Rhinolophus ferrumequinum: one gene and its partners. The protein of the gene in region 3 interacts with the protein of the main gene of each other region in a biochemical or structural test. Links are inferred from orthologs where the notes say so. Each region holds a gene or a part of one and is shown on either strand. Other genes may lie near its edges.

Region 1 (9,946 bases), on a different chromosome or scaffold from region 3:
TTCTTTAATGAACATGTACTACTTGTGTAACAAAAGATAAAGGAGAATAATATTTATTGAATGTTATTTCAGTCTATCCTGGCATAGAAATCCAATTTGATTTTTAACATGTCTTTGAGAGTGTTAACAATTGAAAATGTTCCCTACAGTTTAAGACCATAATCCAAGATGATTAAAGAGATTGAATTCACGTTTAATTGATTGAGCTGCTATAGGCACTCACAGAGATAAACTAAGCCATTAAATACAGGTCCCTCTCACATTTAAGAAGAATTGGCAAATTCTTTCACTACTGTTCTTTCGTCTGCATTATATGTATATATGTGTGTGTCTATCATATTATTTGTCTATAGTTTAATGATCTTGTAAGTGTATGCTAGTTCCTTACTTGAAAATCAGCTGCACAATTTGAGTAACACAAGAGAGAATTTTGTATGAATCAGTTTTTCCTTTTGATGATTACATTACGTGAAGATGTTTGAATGCTATTCTTTCTTTGTTATACATGTATTTGAAGACATACCTGTGAAACATCAAGTTAGATTTCCTGTAGGAATTGGAGATTTGCATATTTAATCTGATCTATTTCTGCACTTTAAATATTGATAAGGTAAAATAAAAATTCATAGCTATTTGTTCATAACTATTTAATAGCTACTACTATCAGAAAGTCATTTATGGTGAATCTGATTACTTGTAGTTTCTCCTAATCCTGACCAAAAAAAACCTGAAACAAAACAGCTTTTAATCCAACATTTTAATGGGGAAAGTTAACAGGAATTTAAACAGGAATGGACTCAAAAAAGAGTGAGAGAGACTTAAAGAAAAATCATGGTTTATCATAGAGAAGTTGATTTAAGAGGAACTGTCATGCAGGGCGGCAGGGGGGTCTCCTGTCCTGCTCTCCACAGAAGAACGCAGGACATGGTGAGGCCAAAAAGGAACACTCATGGAGCCATAGATAGGGGAGTCATACCACTATATTCTCACTGGTGGCTGGGTTAGAGACATAGGAAACAGGAGCCACACAATCCGCAACCCTCACTCCACTGCTTGCTAGCTCAGCCACCATCTTCTTGCTAGCCCCCATTTGCTCCTAGCATAGTCACAGCAGTTATATTAGTGGCCAATGGCTCATTGGTTACAGGTGATGGCCAACTAGCCATCCAATCACAGTTGATGGCCATTTACTACCTGAGCCAGCACCTTTCCACGTGAGGCCGAGAGCCTGGAAACTGCGCTCCTGGCTCTGTCCCCACAGGAACTCATGAATAATATTTAAATATTTATGAAGAATTATTAGACTGAATATATAGACAAGTTCTTGTCCCACTTTTGGGAAGATAATCAGAGAAATTTAACTCAAGTGATGTTTATAAAAATTAAAAATAGACAATTGATTAAATATATGTTACAATGTAATGTTTTATAGTAAAAATGACATCACAAATCTGTATTCATTGACATGGATAGTTTTTGATGTTAAAGTATTTATCAAATAACCATTAAGAAACAATTTCTTCTCTGAACAATTTCCCTTTCTTAATCTCAATGATAATGTGTGGTAACAAGCTATCAAAACATTAATGATATGCTTTTTAAATAGCGTGGAAGAAAATATCTAAATGCCACTGCATATGCAAATTATCTGTAGAGAAAATATATTAGACGCCTGGATAATTTTGATATTATATGGAACATGCTCCTTTTATTAGTTTCCTATGATTTCTCTCTTGGCAAAGGCATTATTTCGGTCCAAAACACTGCGCAAATCATTATAAATTCCCCTGAAATGTTTTTTTATCCATTTATTTTCTGCCTTTCTGAACACAAATGCAGTTGAGACGCAGAAGTAGATCTGTCATTGTCTTATCAGTCTGTCCGTTCTTCACTCACCTGGAACATTAGAGGCTGAGTTTATCTCTGAATTGGATATTCATTCTGAAGCCTTTTTAGAGCTGCTGTCACAAGTCTGGCAAACTTGGAACACCATTTGTTACATCATTTTATTTTGCTCCCTCGGCAAATCAACAGAATTTATACAGAGCTCTTACACTGCGCCTTTAAAGAAACCAGGCTCCAAGAATATAAAACTGTCAATAAAGATAGAGAATATTAATTCTACCACTGTCACTATATTTCTTCGGGCTACTGATGTGATCTGCTGTGAATGATGTTACTGTAATCCACATGTAGTGCAGGGGATCCTGCCGACTACGCCAAGTGTCGTGCGGGGTGTCAGGCGGGGTCTCTGGTCCCACTCCCCACACAAGAACGCAGGACATGGTGAGGCCAAACAGGAACACCCACGGAGCCATAGGTAGGGGAGTCACACCACTATACTCTCACTGGCGGCTGGGTTGGAGACACAGGAACCAGGAGCAACACAATTCTCAACCCTCACTGTGCCGCTTGCAGACTCAGCCACCATCTTCTTGCTAGCTCCCCCTTTTTTTTCTTTTTTTTGCTAGACTAGCCACCGCAGTTATATTCATAGCTAATGGCTCACTGGTTACAGCTGACGACCAACTAGCCACAGCTGCTGGCCATTTGATCACAGTCGATGGCCATTTACTACCTGAGCCACCACCTTTCTATGTGAGACCGAGAGCCTGGAAACTGCTTTTTGGGGCTCTGTCCCCACACCACATATTAGGGTGAAAAAAGAGATTTTGGGCAGATTTTATATTAACGACTCCTATCAATGCTCCTTGAATCCCCCCATACTATCTCCTCACAACTTCCATCCATGGTGGGAAATGTTTTACCTAATACCATAGTAAGCCAAAGTTATTGATGAGGAGGCATTAGAGAACTTAAGTGTGTTTAGGGTGAGATGGGAGGTTGGGGGGGGGATGGGAAAATGTTGAAAACTACTACAATGAAAAAAGTATTTCTTAAGGCACCCTAAAACATGGGGGGCTAGATAATAACTACTTGTATCGACAGATTCCACTGTGCTTTGTTCTTTACTAAAACTATATTATTTATTCTTTACAACAATCACACAAGTAAAATGTCATCCTCATTTTGTCAATAAGAAAATTAGAGATTTAGAGAGGTTAGATACTTGCTCTGGATTAGTGATACCAAGTTTAACTTGTATGCAGTTTCTCCACTCTTAGAAGTCAACCATGTTCACCAGGTTGTAGTGCGTTTCTTGAACTCATAAATATATTTCTCCTTCTAATACTTATCTCTACTTTTTCGATCCTAAAATATTTAAATATCTCTTCTGTCTGACTTTGAAGATTTTAACTTGGATTCTTGCATGTCCTCATAGCTTTAGTACCACAAAAAGCACAGGGATATTTAAAATGATATACAATTTAATTTTACATACTTTGCATGGCACTTTCCTGTGGTCACAATTTCTACATTGTTGAGGATATATTAATATTATCATATTAATAAATATGATAAACCATATTATGCTAGAATAAATGTCCATTATTTTGTGCTGCCAACAGTACTGTAACAACAACATGAAGTTGCCCCTGGTGTCAAACTAGAGAATCTTCTTTGAATGCTATACTCCCTCTTCATTGCTCTTTATATCTCTTTCGAGTAACCCTATTGCCCTGTTTCAAGCTCAGCCTCTTTCCAAAATCATACACAATGCCATCCCAACTATATGCATTAGGCTTTCCCCTCTATGCCTACTAGGAAATTACAAGGGAGCCAACCAAGATCTCACTACCTCATATTTTTCATACATTTGCATAACATGAGAGGAAGGTGCAAAGAGAAGATAAGAAACAGATTAAAATCTCTTTAATCACTCGGTCAGATTCCTCATTTTTCACATCATTTCATTGCAGCACAAGCTTACTACATGGCACACCTAAAAATCCGTGTTTAATGAGAAGACAAAGAGAGTTTAGGTTAACTATGCATTTCATAGAATGTTAATCTGTAACTAATTTACTGTATTAAACTCAAATACAACAATCCTATATAAGAGTAGCAAAATATTTAGAATTCATTTGTCAAAGAGAAAGCCAATCATGTATGATGTACACTAACAAGACGTACACATTAGTAATATTTCCCAATAGATCATTCTTCTATATCCCTTATGAGGTACAGGCCATTCAATAAGATTATTTTCAAAGTTATATTCAGAGAGTTAAAATTTTACTCAAGGCCATGCTATCAATCAATGATGAAAAAAATCTTTAGTAGCAGTCAGTTCCCTTCTTTGTTCTTGAGTAGTTCTGCCGCTTTACGAATACAGAGCTAAGAGACTACAGGTAGAACATAAATAATGTCACTATTAATATTATTAGTAATTAAAAGTTTATTGATTGCTTACTATGTTCAAGGCACTTTAAGGGGCGAAAAGAGGAGTGAAACATAAACTTGTAATTTAAAATGACAAAAAAATTGTTTTGCATTTTTGTGCGTGTGGGGGTTGTGAGGAATCATCTCCCCCTGCTGAAAATGACCAATATAGAAAAGGCAAAATGTCAAATATGAAGGCACTGTTTTATAATAACATAAATTCTCCTGGATTTCCATTGTCACATCCAAATTTAAAGGTTATTTCTAACACAGTTGGATCTCACCTTTTCCCTCCCATTTGATAACATAACCCATCTGTAAGGTTCCAGAGAGTAAATGCTAATTCTGGAGACAAATGTGCCTTCTGGAACAGTTCCTGCTAGATTATCTCAGCTCTGCTACTCAAGAACTAGATAATCTAGTTCTGTTACTGAAAATTTTTTAGCTTCAGATTCCGTCTATAAAACATACATAATGAAACTTAACTAACCCACTTGTTATGATTAAATAATATAGTACATCAGTCCTTTGCCAAGTACAATTTAAAGGTTTGGAATCATGCTGTCCTATAACAAAGACAAAAAAGTAACGACTGCTCAAAATAATTCTCTCATTGGTCTGCAGTGGGGCCGAAAATATCAGTCATTTTCTCCCCTTCAGAGGTTCCTGTTAAACTATAAATATGTCATATGAAATAATATATTAAATAATTGTCATAACAGTCTATCAAGGGACCTAGCTGTGATGGGTCACAGTGGAAAACATTTATCATTGTCAGTAATAAAAAAAAAATAATAATCAAGAGCAATAAAAAGAAACAAACTACTGATATATGCGACAACATGAATGAACTTCACACATTATGCTGAGTGAAAGGAGCCAGATATAAAAAACAACTTCATACTGTAGGATTCCATTTTTGAAATTCTTGAATATGTACAACTAAGAAGGACAGGAAGGAACTTTCTGGGGTTGTGAAACTGTTCTGTCTTCAAAATGGTGTGAGCTACATGAATGCATATGTTTTTCAAAACTAATTTGAAGACCTTAAGATTTGAGCATTTCACTGTCTATAAATTATACTTCAGTTAAAAAAAGACCATCTGAACATTATTGTTATCCATTTTTAGTTCTTATCTGTCATGGATGCATGGTGAAATATTTACAGATGAAACAGACATATGTAATTCTTGGAATTTAGTAAAAAATGCAGAAGGAGAAGTGATAAAAATTGGAAAGTGGACAGGCATACAGATGATTAGCCATAAATTGAAAAATGGTGGAAGTTGGGTGCTATTCACAAGAGAGTCTTTTATTTTCTCTACTTTTGTATATGTTTAAACATTTTCCATAATAAAAGGTCAAAAAGAGAAGTGTTATTTGGGTTAACTCCTCATTTACAAGAAAACTGAAAGAGGACAAAACTTGTAGAAAGTCTCAAAGCCAGACAACAAACCAATTTTCAAGTTTAACCTTCTTTTCTCTGACCCCAAGGAAACAACAGGAGAGTTTTGGAAAGGCTACTTTTAAAAAGGGTAGACCAGTGATGCAAGGAATTGTTTAATCAATAATGTATACTTGCTTCCTGTCCCTTTCGGTTTCAAATGGTTGTTTTGTAGATTTAAATTGCATTTTACTCAGATTTCAAACACAAGTGAGTGCAAGGGTGAAAGAACACACCCCCACAAAATAAATAAATAAATAAATAAAAACGCATCGCAAAGACTTATTTTTCCCTTCCAGTGCTAAAAATCACCCTCCCAACCAGGCAAAAAAAAAGCAAAGACATTCTGTTAGGAGGAGCTTGGATCTCCATTCGGTGTGATCCGGGAACAGCTTTTTCCCTCCAGCTCTGAAAGAGGTGAAAATGTATTGAGCAATGCAATAATTGTCTTGAAGCCTGCGCGGGTTTGTCGCGTGTTTGTGTGTCTCCGTGTGTGTGTGTGTGTGTGTTGGGAGAGGGGGGGTGTCAGCTCCGAGGACAGCGTGAATCAGGTGTCAGAAAGGTGAGTGGTGTGTAAAATCGCGGTTTCAGAAGAGATCGAAGACGAAATTGGATGTAATGGTTCAGGAGCATAAACCACGCTAGGTTTGTCTCCTGCACCAGGCACTTGAGTCTTCAAAGTAAATTCCATTTCGATGTCTAAAAGCCTTACGACCACTTGGTTTCGACGGCTAAGGAATATTTATTCCTTGTTCAGCTGATGGGAAAACCTGCGTCTGGCAGCCCCTGATTGGTGGAAAAGAAAATGGTGATAGTGGAGTGGGAAGAGGATTTGACAAGCCTTCTCCTGCCTCCTCAACCTGTAACTCTTCCTTATTTGTCTCCTCTCTACCCGCAGGGCCCTTTCGGGTACAGGCAAGGTTCAGAGCAAACGAAAATAGCGGATATTTAAGCAAAAGCACCCTTAACGTTGGGTCCTACGCTCATTAATCAAATTTCAGCGATCCGAGGGAAACGTGCTCTTGGCGGTGCCAATGTGAGCAATCTTGAGCTGTCTCCTTCAGCAGCTCCCCAAGAGCTTGGCTCTATCTTTGGTGGTTGATCCCTCAGACCCCCACGCCCCCAGGTAGGTTCTGACCTGGGGGTCCCCGTGAGGATCCAGAAGGAAAGGCAGAGACAGGGGAGGGAAAGAGGTAGAGAGATGTCAGCCAAGCTTAACGGCTCCGGATCGCCCCAAGAGTCCCTGTGACTCTGAACTTGAGGTGAAGCTCAGAACACCCCCACCTTCCCGCCTCCCAGGACCAGGCGGGCGGCAGGAGCTGAAGGTACAGCATTCCCCCCGCCCCCACCCCATCTCCTCCCCATCCAGAAGAGGAGTGAAGTGCAGGCAGCGCGGAAAGCAGCGAGAGGCAGGAGAGGGGCGGGGAGAGGCGCTGACAAATCAGCTGCGGGGGCGTTGAGCAGAAGAGGAGGAGGAGGAAAAAGAGGAGAAAGACCGCGACGACACGAACGGACCCGAGAAAGGGGGCGAGTGACCGAGCGAGCGCGGGGACGCGGGTGAGGTGTGTGCTGGTTTCAGCGCCGACCTGGGGGCCCAGCCTTGCCTTTAGCATCCTTCGTGCCTTCTCCCCGCCTTCCTTTCCATCCCTCTATCTCTTTCTCTGGGATCCTCTTGTGCGGGGTACGGGGAGTGGCTATTCGACGACAGGTTCGTGGGTTGCCTCCCATGCCCCTGGCCTCTTATCGCTGGGTTGTGCTGACAGCGGCCTCCTCTGGGGACCATCCTTCTTCTGGTGCCGCTTCGCCCCTTCCCGTGCGCTCCTTACCCACCCTTTTTCCATTTAAATAATATTTGGGAATTGTTTAAATTTTTTTTACGGGGTGTGGGGTGGTATCGTAATTCTGAGGAACAGAGGGACTCGGATAAGTACCTGTGGATCTGAATGGGCAGCTTTGGAAAGCCTGGAGAACACCTGGTGGGAGAGGAGTCATTGGCAAGGAGAGGACGCCTGGCAAGGGGGTTGGTGCTGCAGGCAGAGAGGACCCGTTCTATCTAATTTAGGAGATGGGTATGTCCCTTTGGTCGCTTGAAGAAAGTAAGTGAGTGACCAGGCTTTCCTCCAGCTTTACATACTTCCCTCGTCTTGTCCTCAGAAGCTGAGAGGTCAGGCTTCTCAGGGAATCGCTTTTCCTTTGGGAAACGCAAGGATGTTGGATGGAGCGTGAGCATCCAACTTTATTTCTCTCTTATCTTTTAACACCCCAGCACGCCCTCACGGTTCTCTCAGTACAGTAAACAACTACCTGTGTTTGGCAAATAATTAAATGGAAGTGCAGATCGGACAAGTCAACAGGTGGTAAGGGGTTAACAGGTGCGAGGCAGGGAGTAGGTTTACGCGCGCGCAGAGAACACCCCCTCCGGTGTCGGGCGAGAGTCTCTCGGCTGCCGGCGGGTGTGAACAGGCGCCTGCTCCGTGTAGATAGCTGAGGGCGGGGGTGGATGGTCCTGTGGATTAGAGCGACCGCGGGTGGGCTCTCAGAGGGCCTGAGGTTCAGCCACACCCAGGGTGAGTAGGTCTCTTCCCCGCTCTCCCTGGTCAACCTATTAGCCCTCTTCTTGGATTCATTTTAAGTGTCCTTGACCCCATGCCCCCAGCTCCCTTTCTTTCCCTGTGATCTATCTTCTAAACGTACTTCTAACTTTATACTGCCACCGTTTGGACCCTGGGAAGTTGAAAGAGGGGTCCATCTTTTCATGCACCTCCACTTTGGAAATGCAGCAAGAACAGCTGAGATGATTCATCCTAAACCATGTTTAGGCGGCTAGACTTTTACTAGCCCAGATGGATAGGGGTGCTAAATTTGTTATGGAAAAGCTGAAAGAAAAAAGAAAAAAAAAAAAGACTTCATTATCTAAGGGTACATTTAAAAGAGTCTCACCCTTTGGGGAGTTTTACTGACCTTTCAGGGGATTTTACTTTGGGTGGTTATAGTTTTGTTTTGTTTTACCCAAAAGTTCTCATTCAAAGTGCATTTTGTGTTCTCCAGTGTGGTGTAAAGGAATTCCTTAGCCATGGATGTATTCATGAAAGGACTTTCAAAGGCCAAGGAGGGAGTCGTGGCTGCTGCAGAGAAAACCAAACAGGGTGTGGCAGAAGCAGCAGGAAAGACAAAAGAGGGTGTTCTCTATGTAGGTAGGTAAGCCCCAAATGCCATTTTGGTATTTATTTATGACTGATGGGTTAGGATAATTGATGCTCTCAATGGTAGTATTTCTCACTTGATTCATTTTTTCTTCATCACTTGTCAAAAGGATAGACTGAGTCAGAGATATGTGACTGTGTATGTTTGAGCTAATAGCAAAAAGTGGGTCTAATCTTTTATTTTTCCAGATTATTGAATTTCTCAATAAAATTTAGGACTTTTTTTGTTTCTTTTTAAAAATGTTTCCATGCATAAATGACTATATTTCAGAGGATTTTTTTTAAATCAGTCTTTTAAAAAATAATCAATATTTTTAAGAATCAAAATCATTCATGGGTCCTTGACTTCTTTTATTATCCTGAATAATATTTGCTAATTTTAGGGTATTCTTTTTTTTTTTTTTTTAATAAGACCTTGAAATGGCCATGGGATACCTAAAAAGAGACCCACTATGGCCCGGAAAAGGAAAGGACAGAACCACCTTTGGGGGAGTTATTCCTGTGACCATTTGGCAAGCTAGAAACTAAGCTCAAAGGACTGCTTGAGGGCTGCTACTAATATCTCAGAAACATTTATATAGTTCATTTATCCACTGATACATATAATAAATAATGAGGTTGTTGCTTATCATTTCTACCTGTTCCTAAATTCCCACCTTGGAGTATTCATGCGGACCCTGACTCTCTTTTTCTTATCTTGAACTATTTTAGGTTGCGTGTTATTTTACAAACTTTAAATTCTTTGGGGGAAGGAATACACATATATACACAGTTATCCACAGGGACACACACACACTCAGTCACAGCCCATTCTGCCTCTCCTCTCCCCTCCTGAGTTTTTCCATATTCTCTGGTGGCCCTGGCCGGTAGCAGCAGTAGCCACAGAATGAGCAGAAAGGTGAAGGATGAACATATTGGGTGCCATGCCTATCTGTGGGGTGACAGAAACCTACACTGTCTCTCTAACAGAGATGGGCTGGAGAAAAGTTATACTTAGAATGATTTTTATGAATGC
Region 2 (10,652 bases), on a different chromosome or scaffold from region 3:
CATCCATGTTGACCCACCTATATGGCAGGGTAAACTTTTAATAAACACCTCTTACCATCCTGCAATGACCCTTTGAAGTCCCCAAGGTTCATTATCTCATCCCTAGCTCAGAATGTGTTATATACCTCCATCCCTCTCTCTATCTCTGAATCTCTCCTGCATGTGGCCATCTCTGACTCATGTATGTGGGGTTCCCATACATACTCGTATGTATTAAATTTGGTTCTTTTCTCTTGCTGATCTGTCTCATGTCTATTTGATTATTAGACCAGCCAGAAGAACTGTGAAAATAAAGTTTGTTGCTCCCCTATACTTTTCTACAGTGACAATGTCTTACATCTCCTAAAATACTTCTCATAATTCTCTATAAGAATTTGTCTATAAGACAAAACCCAATTTCTTGGTGGAACATTCAAAGCTCTGTCAAATCTGGCCACACATTACTTTTTAAACCTTATCTTCCATTGGTCTCCTCTATCAGCTTTTTTTCTAGCCAAACTGGTTTTCCTGAAGTTATACAACAGACTCACATGGTTCTTAATTCCTTTGACAGCTCCACCCACTTAAGAGTTTAGAAGGGGGTGGGGGTGTGTATGATGGGTTAGAAATGAAGTGGTGGAAAATAATTTGCTTCCTCTCCTTTCTTCATCTATTTAAGATCCACTTTAAAATGTCCTCTACCCACCCATTGTAAATAGGACAGTATGAGCAATTCATTTGAGTATGAGTACAATCATATTAGCAAATTTGTTCTGCCTCACAACTTTTTTGTGGATTCAAAATGTGACTTTAAATAATTATTTAACTTTTCATATCGTTATTTCCCCAAAGGATGAGCTCCCCAAGGGCACAGAGCTGTTCGTGTACTACTTTATATCAGATAGATGTCTTGCATATAGTATGTACTCAATAAATATTGCTAGTTTTATTAATTTAACTCATATTGCAAAGGGTTATCAGTAAAAATGTTAGTTGGAAAGCACTGCTGAGAAATTTGGAGTTTTTAAAAATTCCATGTAATCAGAAGCTTTCTGAGGAGTGTGTGAACCACAGTGAAAAAATGAGTTATTTTGGGGGCAATGTCCTTTAAAACCAAACAAACAGAAATTTATTGCAGAAATATTAAAAACATTTAAGGTGAATATTTTCATCTATAATTAAATATGCCAATATATTAAGAAAACTATTCTAATTTCTGTATTCCTTTTCAATCTTGATCCAAATGTATATATATTTTACAGATTTGGAAATATATAATCTGAAGTTCTATATTATTCAGTTAGTATTGTTTCTGAGTTGCTATGAGTCTTTGTATTTATTATTTTTACTGGTTGCATAATATGGATTTAATATAACATAATTTACTTAACCACACCTCTGTTAGCCAATACTGTCTTCCTTTATTTTCTCTAGGTCCATATTTTATATGGTACATAATTTCAAACTACCTCTAGCTCACTGAGGTCGGACAATTAAGTTTGCGTACTCATCCTAGAAAAAGTTCTCCATACCTCATTGCTGAATATCACTATGGTCACCTTCAAAGCATTACCCTTGGGAAGCTATGCACTGACGCCAGTGTCTAGTCCACCCTTCAAAGCAATTCTGGAACTCTATTTCTGGAATGGCTGTCAATGTCATCATATTACTCTTGATGTCCTGAATGTCATCAAAATTTCTTCCTTTCAATATTTTATCTTCGGGTAAAGAAAGAAGTCAATGGAGGCCAGATTAGGTGAGTAGGAAGGATGTTCCAATACAGTTACTGTTTGTTTACTGACTAAAAACTCCCTCACAGACAGTGCCGTGTGAGCTGGTGCATTATCGTGTCATGGCAAGAGCCATGAATTGTTGGTGAAAAGTTCAAGTCGTTTTTGTCTTTTTTACACAGCCTTTTCAGCACTTCCAAATAGGAAACTTGGTTGTTTGTCCAGTTGGTACAAATTTATAATGAATAATCCCTCTGATATCAAAAAAGGTTAGCAACATCGTTGCAACAAGTTCATGAACTTGATTGTCAGACCTCATATATATATATAATTTTATATAAACAGGATAAACAATGGTACTTTTTGATGGAGGGCAGAGTGATCTAGTAGAAAGCTGAATTCAAATTGACTGAGGTATAAATCCCATACCAACTCTGCCATTTACTAATTTCATGACCTTGAGCAATATATTTATTGCTCATCCCCCTCATCTATTACAAAAAGAGCTAGTAATGTCTCTCTTGGGGTTTTGGGAAGGATTGAACAGGCACTCAATAAATGTAAATTTATTTTTCCTACCTCTTAATCTTCACTTTGACCTTGATTGGAGGGCTTTCCTAGGGTTCATTACTAAATACCTTTCCTAGGGTTCATTACTAAATAACTCTTTTCTATCTCATAGTATCTGACTACAAGTACCTGGAGCAGAGACCATATCATATAAATTTTGAAGAGCAGCATCCAACAACATTCAGGTGTTTAACATATATTGGCTATGTAAATGAGGTCCTAGGAGGGGTTTGCTCATTTACTTCTGTTTGAAATGGTTGACTCTGGGTTCACCTAAATAAACAGCATCTTATATTCTCTTTGCTATCTTCCTTATTAAATGTGCTTATATTTTCTTCTAGTTGCAACTAAAACTTGAGCTAAGTGATTTTGAACAAGTCACTTATTCAAGTGTGTAGTTTCCTCATTTGTAAAAACATTAATAATTTAATAATAGTACTTCCTAAACATATAGTATTTTCTAAGTGCAAAGTGCTATACAAATACAGGCATACCTCATTTTATTGCACTACGCTTTACTGTGCTTCACAGATGTTTTTTAACAAATTGAAGGCAAAACCCTACAACCAGCAAAAAGATTACGACTCACTTTATTGCCATGATCTGGAACTGAACCTGCTATATCGCCAAGGTATGCCTGTACTTCTTATTACTACATAAGCCTGTTCATTGTGCATTTTAATTTATAATTATTCTTTTGTGGGCACACTCACTAACCTTTCTTTTTTTTTTCTACTACACTACTTAACCTGTTGTGTCCCACCCAGCTTTCCTACCTTTATCTTTCCCTAGTCCTTTGGTTTGTTACTGTGGCTCAGAATCACTTATCTCTGCAAGGGAAATCTAATAAGCCCTGGAGGAAACCAAACTGTTATAAACCAAACTAGGGGATATGTTCACAACCAGGCACAAACAGTTCAAGACATAAGGCTTAGACTTTAAGATAAAGCAAGACATACCAGGAGAGGTGGGGACTGCTTGAGAGAGAGAAGTGTGTATTAGAACAGTGAATCTGAATCCTGGTTCTACTTTAGCTCTGTGGACCTAGCAAGTTAGTAAACCTTCCTGGCCCTCAGTTTCTTCATCTGAAAAGCAGAGGTGATAACACTACTTACGTCATAAGATTATTATAAATTTGAGATAGTATGTGTGAAGCACTTAAGACCAGTGTCTGGCATATTGTAAACACTCAGCAAATATTACCTATTAAAATTATTACAAACTAGTAAGTGGTTAACAGCAGGTTGGAAGGTAAAGTGTTTGAAAATTCAGAGAAACAAACACTGAATGTTAATTTCATCAGTTCTGTATTTTCTCATAAACTTCTTCAAGTCCTAATTCTGGATTGAAACACTTTTTTTCCTATAAAAATTCCCCATGACTTGGTCAAATTTATTTTTTTTAAACAGCATCAGTTCAAACTATTTGAAGGCACCAACAATAATCAGTCTTAGACTATTTTTGTACTTTATTATATACAAAAGAATAGCCATGTTTCCAATTTGTATAACCTAAACATGTTATTCCCTTTCCCGCTGGTAGAATTGGGAGTATGGATGGGGAGTCCAGAGGGAGGCAGGACGTAAAGCGCCTCACAGCATTTTTAGGGACTAGTGACAAAGGTCATTCATTAACAATAGTTTGCATGTAGAGGCAACATTCATTGGCAAAGTTGCCATGCACTGAGTTTGCTTTTAACATTCTTTACTCTCCTCCATGACATCCAGAGATCTCATATTCTCACTTAATTGCAAAGAACAAGAGCCTCTACTGCTCTGGGGCTACAAAACCCATGCTCAGGTTTGAAATTACAAATTGATTGCATGTTGGCCACATTTACCCCAGGATGTTTAGTTTGGCCTTCAGGGTTTTGAAATACTGGTTGCTAACATTTAAAAATAGAGATATTTTACACAAATTAGGGTTTCTCTTGGGAGAGGGAAAAAAACACAGAATCTCTCAGAACACTGGACCTACATTCCTGAGGCCAACAATCTGCTAGATCTGAACAGCTGCTCCCTTCAGTTACAGCATGGACACTCCAGTTTGCCACATTCCTTATCATTCCTCATTGTCTTCCACCAGGCCAGTCTTACTCATATGCTTTACTTTTCTGACCCCTGTAGACCTGTCTGCAAACCCTACCTAGACCTTTTTTGCCTACCATCAAAGCTTAGTTTGTTTTGCCCTAAGTCCCTCATCAGTATGTCAAAGCAATAGCTACATAATTTGATTAGCCATAGGTATTTTTACATGTGCTTTCTGGAGATAGTATTTTAACAGAAAGAGATGACTCTTCAGGTGGAAATTACAATCAGGATAGCAACTGTCCATTCTACTTTTTCTGCTATCCTGACGTAGTCATACCTCACTGTCCTCAAGCAAACCAAAGGAAGTGGTTTTCTGCAGAACAACACCCGGCTCTATGTGAAACCTACTTAAATAATACTTTCATAGATCACCCTAGTTCCAAAGGACCAAAAGCTACTAAGGGCTATTCTGACTCCCCATTTCCTCGGAGGCTTCAGGATATCCGGCCTGATGGCATTTCCCTTCACCTGATTTTTGGGCCCGTTTTGCGCTGGGCAGTCGCGCCCAAGGAGCGCGCGCGCATCCAGCATGAGCTCATTTCTCAGGGGGCGTTTCCAGAAGGCCGGCCTGGCCGCGCGCACCAGGCACAGTCTCCCTCTTTCTAATCAATGGCCCCCACGGCTGGGCGTGGCGCTGCCTCTCTGAAAGCTTTGTTCCCACTCTAGCGTCTGTGAGCTCGCACCCCGCCGGGGAGGCGCCTGGATCCATCTGGCCCTTGCGGGGAAGACGCTGGTACTCGGGACGCGCTAGCCTGGGCAGAAGGGAGTCTCGGAGGCGCAGAATTAGCCGCGCCCCGCCTAGAGCCTGTAGTCGGTGGGGAGAGCCCCTAAGCCCTCTGCTCGCCTGAGCGCTCCGAGCTCAGCCCAGCCGACCGCAGCAGTTTCGGACCCGCTGTGTAGAGGGCCCGCGCTCCCTATTTGCGGTTTCCACATGGTCTGAGAGCCGCCGCCACGACCCCAGTCGAGCTTCTTCTGGCTCCTGGGACCGCCGCCGGAGGTCGGAGGCCAATCACATTGCAGCTAGGTCTTGCGATTGGAAGGCAGTGAGTGCCGATTGGCTATCGCTAGGGTTTCGGCCTCCCTCCTTTTCCCTTTTGCCCCAACTCTAGCTCCAAAGCTTCAGGCCAATGAGAAGGCGCTTTATAGACGCCCTCCCTTTGCTTTCTTCTCCCCTCCTTGGCGAGGGAGGAGACGTTGTGACTGGCCAGACTGTCCTCGGAAGCCCCCTTCCTTTCACCAATCACCAAGGGAGGTGCACTCCCAGCGGAGTTTTTGGCCAATTACAAAGCAGCCACGGAGCCCAGCCGTGCTGTTTCACCCGCGACTCGGAGTTTCACTGCCCTTAACTCTTCAGGCGGTTTCGTGAGGGCCGGCGACTCTGATTGGCCACTATTGCCACTGTCGAATTTCTCTAGCCAGCCACAAAACAAGACGAACCCACCTTTTTCTGGTTCGGGTATCTTCGGCATTTTTCGGACTTTGGGCGTGGATTTCCAGCGGCACATTCTAATTGGGTCCTTAGGTCCATCGGCTTTTTCCGGGAGGAGCCGCAAACATACGACGTCTGTGATTGGCTACGCTCAGGCTTCGGTCCTTTAGCAGAAGCGGCGGGCGCAGGGCTCGTCCGGCGATTCCCAGACTCCTGTTACGCGGGCGGCGGGGCGCTGGGTGGTGTAAGGCTGGGTGGGGGAGGAAGGAGGCGGAGGACGAGTAGGAGGGGGGAGAGGGAGTGGGGAAGAGCTAGGCGGCTGCGCAGACGGTTCTCCTCACACAGAGCAGCCCCTGACCCGGGCGAATGCGGGTTTGTGCTGCCGTCGCCGCCGCCGCCGCCGTCGTCCGGCCCCAGTGACAAAGGAAGGAAGGAAGGAAGCAAGGAGGAGTCGGCCCCACAGCCGCTGACAGGGCTCCGGGCTGGGGGCAAAGCGCGGACACTTCTTGAGTAGGCACCGAGCAGAGGCGAGGGGCGGGAGGGCGACCGCGCTGGTGCCGTGGACGGGGGAGGGGGCCCCGAGGGACGGAAGCAGTTGCTGGGTTCCCATGTCCCCGGCGTATGGGGAGCAGTCAAGGAGCCGCTGCTTGGGGTCTGAAGGGAGCTGCCTCTGCCACCGCCGCCGCCATGGCCGCTGGATCCAGCCGCCGCCTGCAGCTGCTCCTGGCGCAATGAGGAGAGGAGCCGCCGCCACCGCCCGCCTCTGACTGACTCGCGACTCCGCCGCCCTCCAGTTTGCCGAGCCCCCGCCGTCAGCCCGCCGGATCCCGCCGCTGCCGGAGCCGCAGCGTTTTCCGTCGCATCTCCGAGCCACCCCCTCCCTCTCCCTCCCTCCTTCCCATCCCCCTTCTTTTCAAGCGTGAGACTCGTGATCCTTCCGCCGCTTCCCTTCTTCATTGACTCGGAAAAAAAATCCCCGAGGAAAATACAATATTCAAAGTACTTATTTTCAATCAAGTATTTACCCCTGTTTCGCGTGATATATATATATTTTTAGGATTTCTCCCCTCCTCTCTCCTCCCCTCCAAGGAAAGGGAGGAGAAAGAATTGTATTTTTTTCCCAGCCCCAAATCATCTATATGTTAAATATCCAGACTGATCTGTCTTGAAGGAGAAATACATCGCTCGTTGTTTTATAGCTATACAAAAGGAGTGAAAAGCCAAGAGGACAAAGTCTTTTTCTTTTTCTTGTGGGAGAACTTAATGCTGCATTTATCATTAACCTAACACCCCAACATAAAACAAAAGGAAGAAAACGAGGAAGGAGGGAAAAGAAGGTAATTCGGAAGGAAAAGGTGATTCAGAAAGAGAGCAATCATGTCAGGCCGGCCGAGAACCACCTCCTTTGCGGAGAGCTGCAAGCCAGTGCAGCAGCCTTCAGCTTTTGGCAGCATGAAAGTTAGCAGTGAGTATTGATTTTATTTTACACCCCTTCGCCACCTCACCCTTAGAATAACACACCTTGAAATACCAGGATCTTCAAATCTTAGACCTCCTGATACAGCAATCAGGGGGAATGGAAAAAGGCAAAAACCTGTCTTCAGTCAAGGATGAGGCAGCTCCCTCTTTTCTCCTCCCATACTCCCTCCCCCGGTCTCATTAACCTTGAATTGAGAGAATATGCTTTTTATTTGGATGATTTGGTTTGCGCCTAATTTTTTATACTTTCCTTGCTGTTGATAGTCAGCTTCATCCAGTGCTTAAGTATTTCCACGTTAAAATAGTGATGGAAGTGTTTACTTGCTCATCCTTTTGGATAAAGAGAAGGGCAAGGCTTGATTCATAAACCATTATGTACGTTCGCTCAGTGTATGTCTTTTGGAATGAGGGATATTTTAGTTAGCTCAGGTCTCAGAGGTTGTCATAGTTTTGTATACTTAACAGAGAGACTGAGTGTCACAGTCTCCTAACATTTCTTTCTTGCTTAACGATACAAAGTATTTGTTCTTAATCCGGAAATCAACTTGCTCAGTAACCAGCATTAGCGTTGGGAGGCGAGCATTGATCGTTCCGTTTACAAGGGGCGGGTGGGAACTGATACACAGTAGCAGTAGTGTGTCTACATGCATTGTTTTAAATTGGATAAGTGGTTTAACGTGTTCTCTTAATCTTCCCGTTTTGACATTACCAATCTACCACTATGTAATTATGTTTAATCAAAAGATAACTTGGTCCAAGTTTTGATTGAGGTTTGTATTGTCACGTTGCCAAATATGAAGTTCAATGTTGATGTTAATTGTTATTGACTCCATCATTTAAGTTCAATTTTGGGGTGGCCTTTGCATTCAGTACTTGTTACATGAAGAGTTCAGGGGTCCCTTCTTAGGACTATTTAAAATACTCTTGCATTGGTTTCCTGTCACATTTAGATAAAACTGTGGATTTAGTTATAAGATGTAGATCTTTCCATCATAGGTTTTGCAGAAGGCTGTGATCCTGGATAAAATAGGGAAATTTGGGCTGTGTTCAGGGATGTTGCTAGACTGTATTCTTATCCCAGATTTATACTGAAAAGTCTGTGTTCTTGAGGTGTTAGTATACTAAGTGTCCAATGTTCCAATGTATCTCTATTTGTGGTTATGTTTATGTGCTATTTAATGACAGTTTATTTAAACATATGTGCAGAATTTAACAAAAATATAGCTTTATGTTCTTATTCCTGAGGAAAGGGGCATGATTAGGGTAACGAAAAACTAGTTTGTTGCCTAGAAGAAGGAGAGAATGAAGAACTGAGATTTTTTTTTTTTTAAAGTATATGCTGGTACGTGAAATTGATTATATCTTTAAGCAACATAAAATGATTTTAATTGAACTCAGGCTTTCAAGTCATGTTGGCCTTTGGAACTTGCCAGAAATAGGGTAGTCTAAGGTAATAGCTGAATGGAAGATTATTTTTGAAAGTTAATTTTTTTTTTTTTTTGGTGACTGGCTTGTACAGAATGCAGGGTATGTGAAGAGGGAAGCTGATGATGCATCTTTCAGGGAAGGATCAGGCTTTCTAAGCACTGGGGTCATTTGAAAGGAATATTTTAAAATTCTGGGGTAATTTTCAGCTATGATGAAGCAAATTTTGTAATAGCTACTTAAGAGCCTCTTGTGGTAGTGGAGTGTTTGCTTTTCATCTTGGTAATATAGTTTAAAAACCACTCAAAATCAATTTTCGGTAATTAATTTATTAAATCTGTTTTAGAGAGCCAAGTAGAATAGCTTACGATGTTAAATTTTTGGACTTTTCATTTTGTTTCCAGGATTTTGTTTGAACAAGACTCTTTAATTCTCGATAGTGTGGATGTTGGCTAATAGGGGAACCCCTTATAAAGTGTGTAGGTTAAAATGTTTAATTATCTGTTACCATATAGGTCAACTTAACATTAAAAAAGCTGGAGTTCAGTGCTAATTGTTTTTGACAACATTGACTTTAAGGACATTTTAGAAGGGAATTGCTGAACATTGGTTAGAGTGCTAGTGTTCTAAGGGACCCCTGTTCAGAAGAGATACATGAGAAATTGTAGTCCGTGGCCTCAATAGCTTATGATTTAGTTGTAGAGGCAGGTTATAAAGACAAAAGATGAAAACAATATGGTGATGACTGTAAGTGTATAAATACAAATATAATGCTTTTTTCAGAGGGACAAACAATAAATGGGGTGAGGCAGATGGGTTGGAGAGGGAAGACTTCCTGCAGAGGTGTGTTTTAAGACAGGTGTTAAAGGAGGCGGTAACTTCAATTGACAGAGAAGTATAAAGGATTCTAGATGGAAGGAATGGACAGAGATACAGAAAATGGTGATTTTTGTATGACATGTAAATGATTTTTGTACTTACTAAGCAAGTAGGTAAATTTGAATTAAAGGGTCCTAAATTGGAAAATAAGAAGTGATGGAATTTGAGAAATGTGTTCATATTAGCTGGTGGGGGTAGAAGGGGTCTGTAAGAGTTTGGTTGAGATTCAAGAGAGATTGGAATTTACTGTAGATTGTTTAACAAGATTTTGTAGATGATTTGGGTAGCTGAGTTGATGGATTAGAGTAGAGACATTAGAGCCCTTTTAAGGAGATTGTAGGGTATGTTGTGAATCCTGAGGGAATATAAAGTAAAATGTGAAAATGGGATGAAAAGAACACATTTGAGAAAATAGTGTGAGTGAAGAAGTGGCAGGATTTTGGATTGGATTGAAGGGGAATATTTGGGAAGGAGTCAGGAGTTAAAAATAAATTCTGATGTTATTGGTCTGGAAGACTTGACCGCCAAGTTATATTGTTGATTGTAATGGGAAGGTTGAGAAAGTGCCGAGATGAGAGGGTAGATGAGTTCACTTTTTAAAAATTTAATATACAATAGATTCCCTTGAAATTCAGCAGACATCAGTTGGTTCCAGCCTATTAAAATTGCAGTTTCTAATTTTTCTGCACCTAAAAATGTTGGATTTATTTTTGGGAGTAGTAAACTAAGTTTTTATTTAAATGCTTTCCATTAAAGTCTTAAAGAAGAACATAATTTTTTATTTAGATTCACATAAAAGCCTCACACTTGAAATCTACTTGTAATAGTTCCATGGTTATGTATATGATAACAATGAAAATATTTTTTTGCTGTGACCTAAACTGTGACTTAGAAATTTCAGATATTTTACATAGCCTTGAAGCTTTGGTACAACTTAAAAAGTTTTTGCATAAATAATGATTATTCTCAGGTAAACCTTGCATTTAAAATAATGGTAGTAATAATAATAGCAGCCTTTTCTGGATTCATGAAAGCTTCAAGCAGAAACTAAAAGTTGATTTTGTAACAAGT
Region 3 (10,583 bases):
CACTTAAATGTTGAAAGGATAAACAATCACCTTCTCCGTTTAAAAAACATCAGAACACTAGTAACAGCGGTAGTACTTAGAACTTAGTATTACTTAGGAAAAGAAATGATAATGACATATACACTGAATAAAGAACAGCTTATTAAAAAAAACAAAAAACCACCAGACTGTAGGTAGTGAGATTTGACTCAGATTTTAATATTTTGGTAACTTTTAGAATTTTTTTTAAGTTTTATTATATAATTGACATACAGCCCTATATAAGTTTAAAGTGTACAGAATAATGACTTTACATATATTGTGAAATGATTATTACAATAAGTTTAGTTAACATCCATCACTTCATATAGTGACAATTTTTTTCTTGTGATGAGAACTTTTAGGATTTACGAGTTGTCTTAGCAACTTTCAAATATACCACAGAGTAGTGTACATTACATCCCATTTTTAGAATTCTGACTACATCGTCCATAGGGTAGGATTGTGCAACTGATGGCAGGGTTTATGTGAAAGGGATTTCTGCTCAACTTTTTTCAAGTATTGTATGTGGGGCTCCGCTCTGAATCCTCCCCACATTACCTGACACTCCCTGAGGCAGGATATCCAGAGTGTCTGGGCAAAGCCAAATATAAGGAGAGGATGACCTCATGGACCTATTATGCCTGCTCCTATTTCTGGGCCCAGGATCATCCTGGCCTTTCTGACAAGAATGCCGTGTTGCTGAGTCATGTGTAACCGAAACCCCGGTTGGCATTTCATCCTGCTTCTTGCCAGAACCCAGGGAATCTAGACAAGGGGGTTGGCATTGCCCTGGCAATGGAGGGAAGGAGAGGTAGGCAGGAGGCATTCAGGAAATATAAAGACAGAAAGGAACACTTGAGCCTAAAGAATAATTATGAAAGAGAAGTCTAGAGAAATTAAGGCATAGATCTGTCTTACTTTATATAATTAAGGTGTTTATAAACTTGCATGTAAATCAACTCACATTTCAGTTGTAACAGGGTAACTGACATTTAAGGAAACCTGGTGATGGTTCCTTTTGTCTAGCAAAGCATTTGTCTGTAATGTTAATACTCACTTCCTAATTTAATTGCATTATATTGGTATTTCTCTATGTTGGCTTTGAGAGAGGACAGTAGGTGTCTCATCAAAGCACCATACCTAGCCCACAATTAGGCAAAACAAATACATTTGGGGCTGTCTAAACAGGCTGGGAATCTGGATCTCTGACTTTGTAACTGAAAATAAAGAAATGTTGGTCTTCAAGGCTGTCATCTGTCTCACTAGAAAATGCCTTATCATGAAAAGTATTTTCAGGAAAATATTTCAAAGGGAAAGAATGTGCTGCTCGTGCATAGCTAGGAGGAACTGCTAAGGGAGATGGCTTCTTAGCATAATTGTGGCTAATACTCCACATCTCCTTCTCCCCCTGTATCTGGTATTTACAAGTAGCTGATCACAAGGCCCTCTGTAATAAAGACTACATTTCCCAGCCTCGGTGGCAACAATGTGTAGCCATGCACATATTCTGGCCAATAGGGTGTTAGCAAGAGTAACAAGTGTGATTTATAGGAATTGTCCTTAAAAGATAGAGATGCTCCCTTTTTTATCTCTTCCTTATTTCTGGGGATGTGTTGTCTGGAGCTGAAGCAGCCACTTTGGACTAATGAGACAGCAAGCGAAGGATGATACAGAAATGAAATAAACAGATATGGGCTCCAAGAAGGTCTTAGAGTTTCTAAAACAGCCCTTGACTCCTATTCCTGGAGAAATACAATTGAGTCTTGTTTAGACCACAGCTGCTTCGCATTTTTGTCACACAGAACTGAATATAAAACGAATTGACCCAGAATTAAGGAAATGCTCATTTCACCTCATTGTAACCTTTATTTCATTCAATTTAATGGACTTATTAAATCCTCACTACATAGAAAAAGAAGATAAAGGCTGTTAACCTGAGGGTCCAGAAACTTGGAGACAAAAAAGTTCACCTTTATTTTTATAACCTGTATTGGAATTTAGCATTTCAGTAATCAATGTAGTATTAACAGTATCTGTGACTTCATCACTAATAGATATTTTCTTTGCACGGTACATGTGTCAGAGATATTTCAAAATGTCATTTATACTTACCCCTATTTGAAATTGGGAAAGTAATTAAACCCACTGCTAGATTTTATTATTTAATGCATTCATGAAGATGCAGGCAAGGTTCTCTGGGAAGCAGATTCTGAGACAGAGTCCAGCATGCGAGATATTTAGGCAGTACCCTTGGGATCGATAGCTGTGGAAGGGAGAGGAAGGAAGCAGGATTGTGCAAAAGGAGAAGTCAAGCTGTGATACAGGCCCAACCAGCCTCAGCGAACCACCTGGGGATCTCAGAACCCAAAATGGACCATCAGAGTTGCCCCAGGTTGAACATTTATCTGCCCACCTGGGTCGGTCAGCCATTAGATATGGGGTTACCGTAGACATCTTCTTCCCTGAGGGGTCGGTGCCATAGTCACCATGTCCTTCTGTGGTAAGCAGAGTAATGCCCTGATCAAAGATGCTCATGTCCTGACCCTTGGAACATATGAATAAATTACCTTATATGGCAAAATGGATTTGAAGCTGTGATGAAATTAAGAATCTTGAAATGAGGAGATTATCCTGGATTATTTGGGTGGGCCCAGTATAATCACAAGGATTGTAAGTGAAACAGGGAGGCAGGAGTGTCCCAGTCAGAGAAGATGTGACAACAGAAGCAGAGGTTGGAGGGATGTGATTGCTGGCTGGGGACCACCCACCAAGGAACAGGGCAGCACCCAGAAGCTGGAAAAGCCAAGGAAACAGACTCTTCCTCTGCACCTCCAAGAGGACGGCAGTCCTGCCAACACCCCATGAGGTTTGCTTGATGAGACTCATTTTGGACTTCTGACTTCCAGAATTGGAAGGCAAGGAGTTTACTTTGTTTTAAGTCACTAAGTTTGGGGTCATTGTTACAACAACAACAGGAAACTAAAACACTTTCTCAGGCTAGGGTGGACGTTTCTGTCTTTTAACAAAAGGGAATACCAAGAGGTGCCCAAGTGACAAATGTATCCTCCCCGTGTTTTGGTAGCAGTCCTACTTCCTGCGGATGATTGAAGTCGGTTATTCCTGCCAGGACAGTACCTTCTGTTCTTGCCTGCTGCTCTCTGGACCCAAAGTGCTCAGGCAGCAGCCATCGCTTATAGTTCAGTGAAACCTTTGCTGTGTCCCCTGGTGGAAGCTTCCCCTTTGGGGGACCTCTATCCCTGCAGAGCCTACACTAGTGAGGATGGGAAGCTCAGATTCCCCCCTGGGGTCACCTGGGAATGTTGGGAAGTGGGACCACTTCAGCTTCCACTCCTTGGTTCCTAGATCCATGTATTCTTTTCCTGTTTGGACTTTTATAAATTCTATAGGTATCGGACTCTTAGTTCCAATCCTACCTGGGACACTGCTACATAAAAAAATGGGAGCCCAGAGAAGTTAATGAATTTGTCAAAGATCACACAGCACAGCTAAGATTGGGACCCAACTCTTTTGAAACCTAATCCAGTTCTCTTTCCCTGTGCGATTCTACCTTCTATGCTTCTTTGTGATGGGCCTTGCGTGCTGAATTGGCCAGATCTCTATTTCAGCAAGAGGGAGGGGCAGGGAGAAAGGGAGAGGATGCATTTTCTTGACCTAGAGAGCCATTAGCTACCTCCAGTGATTAAATTATCTGGAATGAACACTCAGCTCCACATTACATACAGTTAAATGATGGATCTGCTTAAGATGGTTTCTAGCATTCATTACCTCAATTGAATGTAGGCAAATGTGTTCATTCAGTATCAGGAGATCACTGTGTTATCGGGTCCCAGTCAGTTCTTAAAGGAAAGAAAACGAGAAAATTGAATGGGAGGAGTGTTAATTTGACTGCTACAGTTTATTTTACATATAGAAAGAATGTATAGCCAAAGCACTGATGGGGATGCTGAAATAACTGCTAGTTATCATTTAATGGATGTCCACTATTTGTCAGGTACTTTACATGAGAAACTTTACACACACATACTGTGTATAAAATATATATATATACATACAGTTTAATATATATATAATATATATAATGGGGATTAAACTGTAGTTTTGCTGTGATAACAAACATCCCTCAGAATCTCAGTGACTCACCCTGTAAATGTCTATTTCTTGCTCATGTTACTATACATGTTATATGTACTTCCTTGTGTCTGTTCATTCTGGGACCTATGCTGAAGGAGCAGCCCCACAGGGCATGCCATTCTGGTGGTGGAGGGGACCATCGCGGTGGTGCAGGGGACAAGTAAAAGTGGTAGAAACTCACAATGCCTCTTAAAGCTTTTCGTTGGACATGTCTACATCATGCCCCTTAGTTCTAGTTGCCACAGACCACCACGTGGCCAGACCAAATATGAGTGGTCTGGGAGTGGAGAGTGGGAGCAGTACAGATCACAGGGTAACAGGAAAGGACAGATAATCCCCATACAGGAAAAGGAGAAAGGACACAATTGGCAGCAATAATGAAGCTGCAGTCTTGCAAGACTGATATTAATTCCTCTCTCCCCTTCACTTCAGAGATGAGTAACTTTGCTAAGCCTTCCTAGAGGAGATATCCCTTCCAGCTGGGGTGATTACAAGGCTTTAGAACATTTGAGCGAGGGTTTGAAGGTTAAATAGGATATTTGGTGCATGGAGAAAGAGCAAGGACTTTGTAAGCAGAGGAAAACCCCCGAGTTGAGGTGGGGAAGAGTTCCAATCAAACAAGCTAAGTTGGTCATAGAGTAGATGAAAGAGAAAACTGGAGAGGACAGGGGCTCAGATGAGGGGGTGGGGAGGGACAGAGGGTTTGAATGCTGAGGAATTTAAGGCTAAGAAGTTTCACTTCACTTAGGGGTCAGTTAGAAGCCTTTAGATATTTTTGAGCAAGAGAGTGTCGTGATTAAAACGATTGCTTCTGAAGATTTGTCTGATTAGGGGGTTCAAGGTGGGCTGATACAGGGAGAAACAGAGAGCAGGGAGACCGGTAAGGTCACTACATGTCCAGTGCCAAGGTAAGAGTCTTTAACGAGGACCATGAGAGTTGGGACAACAAAAAGGTCACCAGAGATTCAGAACGAGTCGTTTAAGAAATGTGCCCCATCTCTAGCATCCACCCAGTGCTTCCCCGTCAATAAAAAATTTTTAATAGCCTGCTTTTTGTATTAATCTATAACAAAAAATATTGATTTAAAAAATATAAATGTAAGAGCCATGCAAATTAAAGCTTCAAAACAAGTTCCCATCTCCCTAGGACAAGATGCCCCCCACCAAACTCCCATACTTATAAAGCCTCCCACTGCCAGGGCTTACATTAGATGTTGGGGAGACCAAGCTAAGATCCGTTCAAGAACCAAATTCAATGGAGTAGATTTTAAAGATCTAATTGGCTTTCTTGAGCAATGCATACATCAGGCAGCATCCCATCCAGCCAAGTAGAAAGGAGCCCTGAGAAGTTGGTAGGTTTTTATAGGCTGGCAGTGGGCAGGACAAGAAAGTTATTACCAAAAGGAAAGAAAGGATCTTTTCAGCCAAGGGCACTTTTCTTTGAGGGAAGGGCGGAAAGGGTCTTATTAGGCAGATTACCTCTCACTAGTGTTGATCAGGAAATTCCAGACTGATTGGTGGTTTAAAATTCCACTCCTGGGAGAGGCTGAAACTGCAATGAGGTATTTATTAATAGTTTTCGTTTTGGTGAAGTGGCATAGCACAAGTGACTCCATTTTGGGCATGTCATCTCTTTCTTCACAGGCCAATGCTGGGAACTGGGTGACCAGGAGAATGAAAACTTCTGGTCAGTTTCAGTGTGTTATCTAGGTGAGAATCTCCATGAGCACTTAGCACTTCCGATCTCAAACTCTACTTACAGTATAACCGTGTGTCAAGAAACAAGATCAAAATAACTGTATGTGTGAAAATGCTTTGCAATGTGATTAGCGCCGCCATTTGGACCTTTGTCTAAGATTTTATTCTCGGACACCGTTAAAAAATAGATGGAAATGGTCCTTGTTAAAAAAAAAAAACACCACAACACTACTCTTACAACTGAATTAGCCTGTTTGATGAGGATTGGCGAAGGAAAGCATTCACCTTGATCAATAACAAAAAAGATGGAAAAAAAGCAGGTTGAAAGGAAGCAGGCCCAGGGAAACTGATCTCCAACAAGGGGGACCATTTCCGGAGACTCAAAGGAGGGTCAGGGTGCCCGGTAGCGATAAGCCGGCCAAACTTGGAGGACTGGGGTGGACCCTCTGGGGAGCGGTCATGTGGAAACCCGCCCAGGACGTTCTGAGATAGGACATCACTCCCGGGACAAAAAGGAAAAGGGCAGCAGATCTGGAAGCGGAGCACCGCAGCCTCTTCCAACCACAGTAGGAAACCAAGCCTCCCTCCCGAGGGAGAAGACCCTTCAGACCAGACAAAGGGTCCAGCCGCCAGAGGTGACCCAGAGCACGCGTGCGCCACGGAGCGCGCGTGCGCGTGGCAGTCCGTGCCGCGGCCCGAGTCGTGGGGGGAGGAAAGACAGGGAAGGGAAGCGCCGGGAGCAGCGAGCCAGGAGGCTGGGGACAGCGAGCCGTGAGGCGCTCGCGCGCGCCCACTAGTGGCCGGAGGAGAAGACGCCTGCGGAGGCCTCGCCGCCCGCCCCTCCTCAGGGAAGACTCGCGTTCCCGCTGCTCGCGCCTGCGCCGCCCGCCGGTCTCGGGAGCGCGCCCTCGCTGGTGCGCGCGCTCGCAGTCTCCGTCACCCACCAGCTCCGGCACCAGCAGCAGCACCGCCGCCACCGCCCACCTTCTGCCGCCGCCACCAGACACTTTATCCTCTGCTTTCCTCTTCTGCCCTCGCTCTCTGTCGACTATCAGGTAAGCGCGAGGCTCCGAAAGGTGCCTCCCCGTCCGCCTCCTGCGCCCCCATGTTGCCGCCCCTCGCCCCCTGCCTCAGAGATGGATTTCCTGAGGTGAGCATTGGTCGGGGGCAACGGCGGGGGCCCCTCCTTGCGCCCTCGGTGCTCCGGGGCTGGGCCTGGGGTGGCTTGGAAACGCACCCATGCAAGAGATGCACACACGCGTGTGAGTGTGTATGTGTGTGTGTGTGCGTGTGTGTGCTGGGGTTCCACAAGACCCGCTTCGCGCGGACCCGGGCAGAGGTGCCCGCAGGGTGGGGCGCGGGTGGCGGTGACCTGGGGGAGGGGGCTGCTATACACTCTCAATCGCCGCCTTTTGCCGCAATGGGCGTGTGTCTAAGTGTGTGTCCGGGGGCGTCCAATGACGACCCCCGAAATCGATCTGGAATCCGATTTCTCTGTCTCGGTTTGCCATCAGCCCTAAGGAAGGTATGGATTGGGTTCTAGAAAAGATGACTCCCTGCCTGCCCCTCCCTTCACCTCCTCGGCAGCAATTCCAATGGGGCTTTTCGCTGTCCCTGATTTAAGGCGGTGGCCCACCTCCCTCCCCGTTTTCCTCCTTCAGAAACCCGCAGGGGACATTTGGGGGCTGGGAGTGGAATCGGGGAGTTGGGGAGGGGTCCAGGCGCTGTCACTTTAGTTGCCCTTCCCCCTGCGCGCGCCTGGCACCGAGACGCGAGCAGCGCTGTGCCCGAGAGAAGGCAGTGCGCGGAGAGATGTGGAGGCTCGAAAGACAGGGGTCACCTGGCCTTGCTCTGTGGAGGGACTCGGCCCCGCGGATCCTGCCTCGCGGGCGCTCACAGCCCCAGCCCCTCACAGATCGGCACAGAGGCTGCAGGTGCACTTCGGGGCGGTCCCCTTTCTCTGCGCTCTGCGCCCGGCGTCCGGCGTGTGCGCTCCCTGCCGGAGGCGCGGGGCTGGCGCGCAGGGCTCGCCCCTCACTGCGGCAGTGGGTGTGGACCCGGGTGGGCGAGGAGGGGGAGGGTAGGCTGTGCCTCCTCCCACTCCCACCCCCGCTTTTTTTCCCCCTCCGATCGCGAGGTGCCATCTTTTTGCGGCGTGCCATGTCTTTACGGTACCACACCAAGCCGGGTGGCCGGGCTTCGAAGGGCAAGGCGGGGACTGTCATTAAGGGTGGGTGGAGGGTGCATTCAGCGCTGAAATCGTGGCGTTTTGCTGCTGAGGGCTTGAGCTTTGGGGGCGTTCCCTCGAGATTTTCCTGGTGGCTCGCTGCTTTGTTTGTAGGGCTAACGTGATCAGCGTTGCCAGCCTGGGTTTTTGCCTTTTATTTTATAAGGGTGTTTAACCAAGGCCCCCCCCGCCCCTTCTCCCGTGTTTCGCCCCTCATTTCTGAGCCCTTTGTTAGATTTCGGGGCTTGCTGGAGTCGATGAACTCGAGTCACGGCCTCGGAGGTACGCGTGGAACCGGCTTGACCCTGCCCGGCCCACTATCAGAGCCAGGCCGCCCGCCAGGAAGCATCCGCGGGGCCGCAGGGGTGGGATTCCGGGTCTCCTTGCGCTGTGCGGGTGTCAGCGGAGGGACAACGCCCCTCCCCATGCCCCGAGTGTCCTGGGTCCCATACCCCACCAGGCTGCCCCCGGAGGGGCACCCGAGGGGGCGGTAGGAGGGGGCACGCAAGCGGGATCCCCTCCCCGCTTCACTCCCTGTTGCCTGGCCAGGCGGGAGAAAGTGAGGAGGGGGCAAGAGGTTTCCCCGGTTGCTGCGGGCCACACCCATTTTTCCGGAGCCGACTGGGAGGGGGTCGTTAGGGGAGGTGTTGCCTTGGAAACAACACGCGTCTTGAGAACAGCCTTTGGGGCGTTGCCCCGCCCCTTCCGATCGGAGAATTAGAACTCCCGGGTACCAAGAGCCGTGCCCCCTCTGGGGGCTCCGTAGGGAAACCCACAAACTGGAGCCGTTGGCTCTTCCTAATTGGCTTCCCGCGGCCATCGGCTCCCAGACAGGCGTCCCTGGTGTATTATTATTCTTGTGGCCGAATATCACTTATCACTTAGGAACCCGAATTCACTGCGGCCCTTGGAAAAGGGAACGAGGGGAGAGGAGTGGGGTACCGACCCCTGGCGAACAAGGCCGAGCCTTGCCCTTCTGTAACGGCCCGGGTCCGCGCGTCTTTCTGGTTAATTACATCGCTGAAAACTGGCGCGAGGGCGCTGTTCTGAGAGGGACGAGCATTTTAGGGGCCGAATCATCCACGCAAGCCGCGCAGATTGATCTGAATATCCGGGGAATGGCTCGGCTCGGAGTCGAGAGTCTTCCCCCGGGCCTGGCCAAACCTTCCCGGCTGTGGCTGTCAGGTCAGAGCCGCGGCTCTGCTCTCCCCTCCCTTCCCGCCCCACTCCCCGCCTCCGCAGAGCTGGGCTCGCCACCGGCAGGTTGCTGGACAGGCTCAAGGGTCGATTCCAGCATCTTTTCCCCTCTAGCCACCCTCCTCCCGAGCTGAACATGGGATTCTGGTTCCAGACAGAGTGAGGGGCGAGGGGCGGCCATGGAACTGGGAGCCCGCGGCCTGGGGCAGACCACAGGCGGGTGTCACCTCCTGTCGCTTGGGGGAAAGGGAACCCGGCGGGGGCGAGCGCATTTAGCCCAATACCTGGAACAAAGCGCCGTGCACGCGTTTGCGATTTCGCTCCATTTTGGGATCTGTAGGTGGCTTGGTGGAGTTCTCGGGTTTGCAAGGTCTGGGGGCTGTGAATGGAGGAATCCCGGCGGCCAGAGAATGGTCCTTCATACCCGATCAGGAAACTCCATCCCTGGCTCTGCGCGCGCTGTAACTAAACGACAACCCCCCAAGATGTGGAGGGATGCAGCGTCTGTGCACACGCTCCGACTGTGGAGCGCTGAGCCAGCCGGAAACGTCCTGTCTCGGAATCCCCAGCAGGTCGGGGCACTTTTACATCCCGGGAGACCCCACTTGGCCTTCGGCGCACAGGAACCTCTAACTCCAAGCCCGGGTCTTGGGCTGGTGCGAGTTGGGATGGAGGACGGCACCTGAGACAGCGACTGCCAGGCCTACGTGCGCGCTCAGGCTCAGCAGGAGGGCTTTGAATTTTTATCAGATCCCTTTCCCTCCATGTGACCCGTCCTCCGAAAGAACGAGAAATGCCTTTCCTGTCATAATTAATTAAGGGATTATTTTTCGTTTTGTGATGCTGCTTATGTTTACCACATAAGAATTGTTAATCCGTTTTCCCCTCTCCAAACCCTTCCTCTGAACGAATAAATATTAATAAAATAAACGTCCCTCCCGGTGCCCAGTCCAGAGTGAATATTGAAGCTAATCAATTCCTTGACAGACATTTATTTGCTTCTGGTTGGTTTTCTGCAATGACCTGGCTTGACTCTTTGGGATTCGCCTTTGGACAATTTGGGGGAGAGGTTTGTTGGCTTTGCTGTTTTTTGGATGAGTGACAGTCCATGACTGTGTGTCCATCCCTAACTCCAACCGGACTTGGTCTGCACACACCCATCATAGAACGGTGTGGCTTTTACGTGGTTTCTAGTATCAGGCACCGCTCCTGACAGGAACAAAAGAAATGGATTATTCCCACAAATTGCAAGAGGAAAACGTAGAATTGGTTTCCTAGAGGAAGGGTC

Evidence for each region.
Region 1: the proteins of MAPT (region 3) and SNCA form a complex in vitro, tested with the Homo sapiens proteins (3 studies listed by BioGRID and IntAct). The link is inferred for Rhinolophus ferrumequinum from reciprocal best matches to the Homo sapiens genes MAPT and SNCA.
Region 2: of the proteins of MAPT (region 3) and GSK3B, one has a biochemical effect on the other in vitro, tested with the Homo sapiens proteins (21 studies listed by BioGRID and IntAct, with this or other methods). The link is inferred for Rhinolophus ferrumequinum from reciprocal best matches to the Homo sapiens genes MAPT and GSK3B.

What each region holds. Positions count from the first base shown.
Region 1 is NC_046288.1:43,470,706-43,480,651, reverse strand, and holds the start of SNCA (alpha-synuclein), read left to right. Parts: upstream 1-6,071; 5' UTR 6,072-6,145; intron 6,146-6,626; 5' UTR 6,627-7,285; exon of another isoform or gene 7,286-7,290; intron 7,291-7,297; exon of another isoform or gene 7,298-7,436; intron 7,437-8,171; exon of another isoform or gene 8,172-8,295; intron 8,296-8,776; 5' UTR 8,777-8,801; coding exon 8,802-8,922; intron 8,923-9,946. UniProt on the Homo sapiens protein: Neuronal protein that plays several roles in synaptic activity such as regulation of synaptic vesicle trafficking and subsequent neurotransmitter release.
Region 2 is NC_046285.1:45,647,440-45,658,091, reverse strand, and holds the start of GSK3B (glycogen synthase kinase-3 beta), read left to right. Parts: upstream 1-6,777; 5' UTR 6,778-7,175; coding exon 7,176-7,263; intron 7,264-10,652. UniProt on the Homo sapiens protein: Constitutively active protein kinase that acts as a negative regulator in the hormonal control of glucose homeostasis, Wnt signaling and regulation of transcription factors and microtubules, by phosphorylating and inactivating glycogen synthase (GYS1 or GYS2), EIF2B, CTNNB1/beta-catenin, APC, AXIN1, DPYSL2/CRMP2, JUN, NFATC1/NFATC, MAPT/TAU and MACF1.
Region 3 is NC_046304.1:40,898,354-40,908,936, forward strand, and holds the start of MAPT (microtubule-associated protein tau), read left to right. Parts: upstream 1-6,682; 5' UTR 6,683-6,926; intron 6,927-6,930; exon of another isoform or gene 6,931-7,021; intron 7,022-7,699; exon of another isoform or gene 7,700-7,805; intron 7,806-10,583. UniProt on the Homo sapiens protein: Promotes microtubule assembly and stability, and might be involved in the establishment and maintenance of neuronal polarity.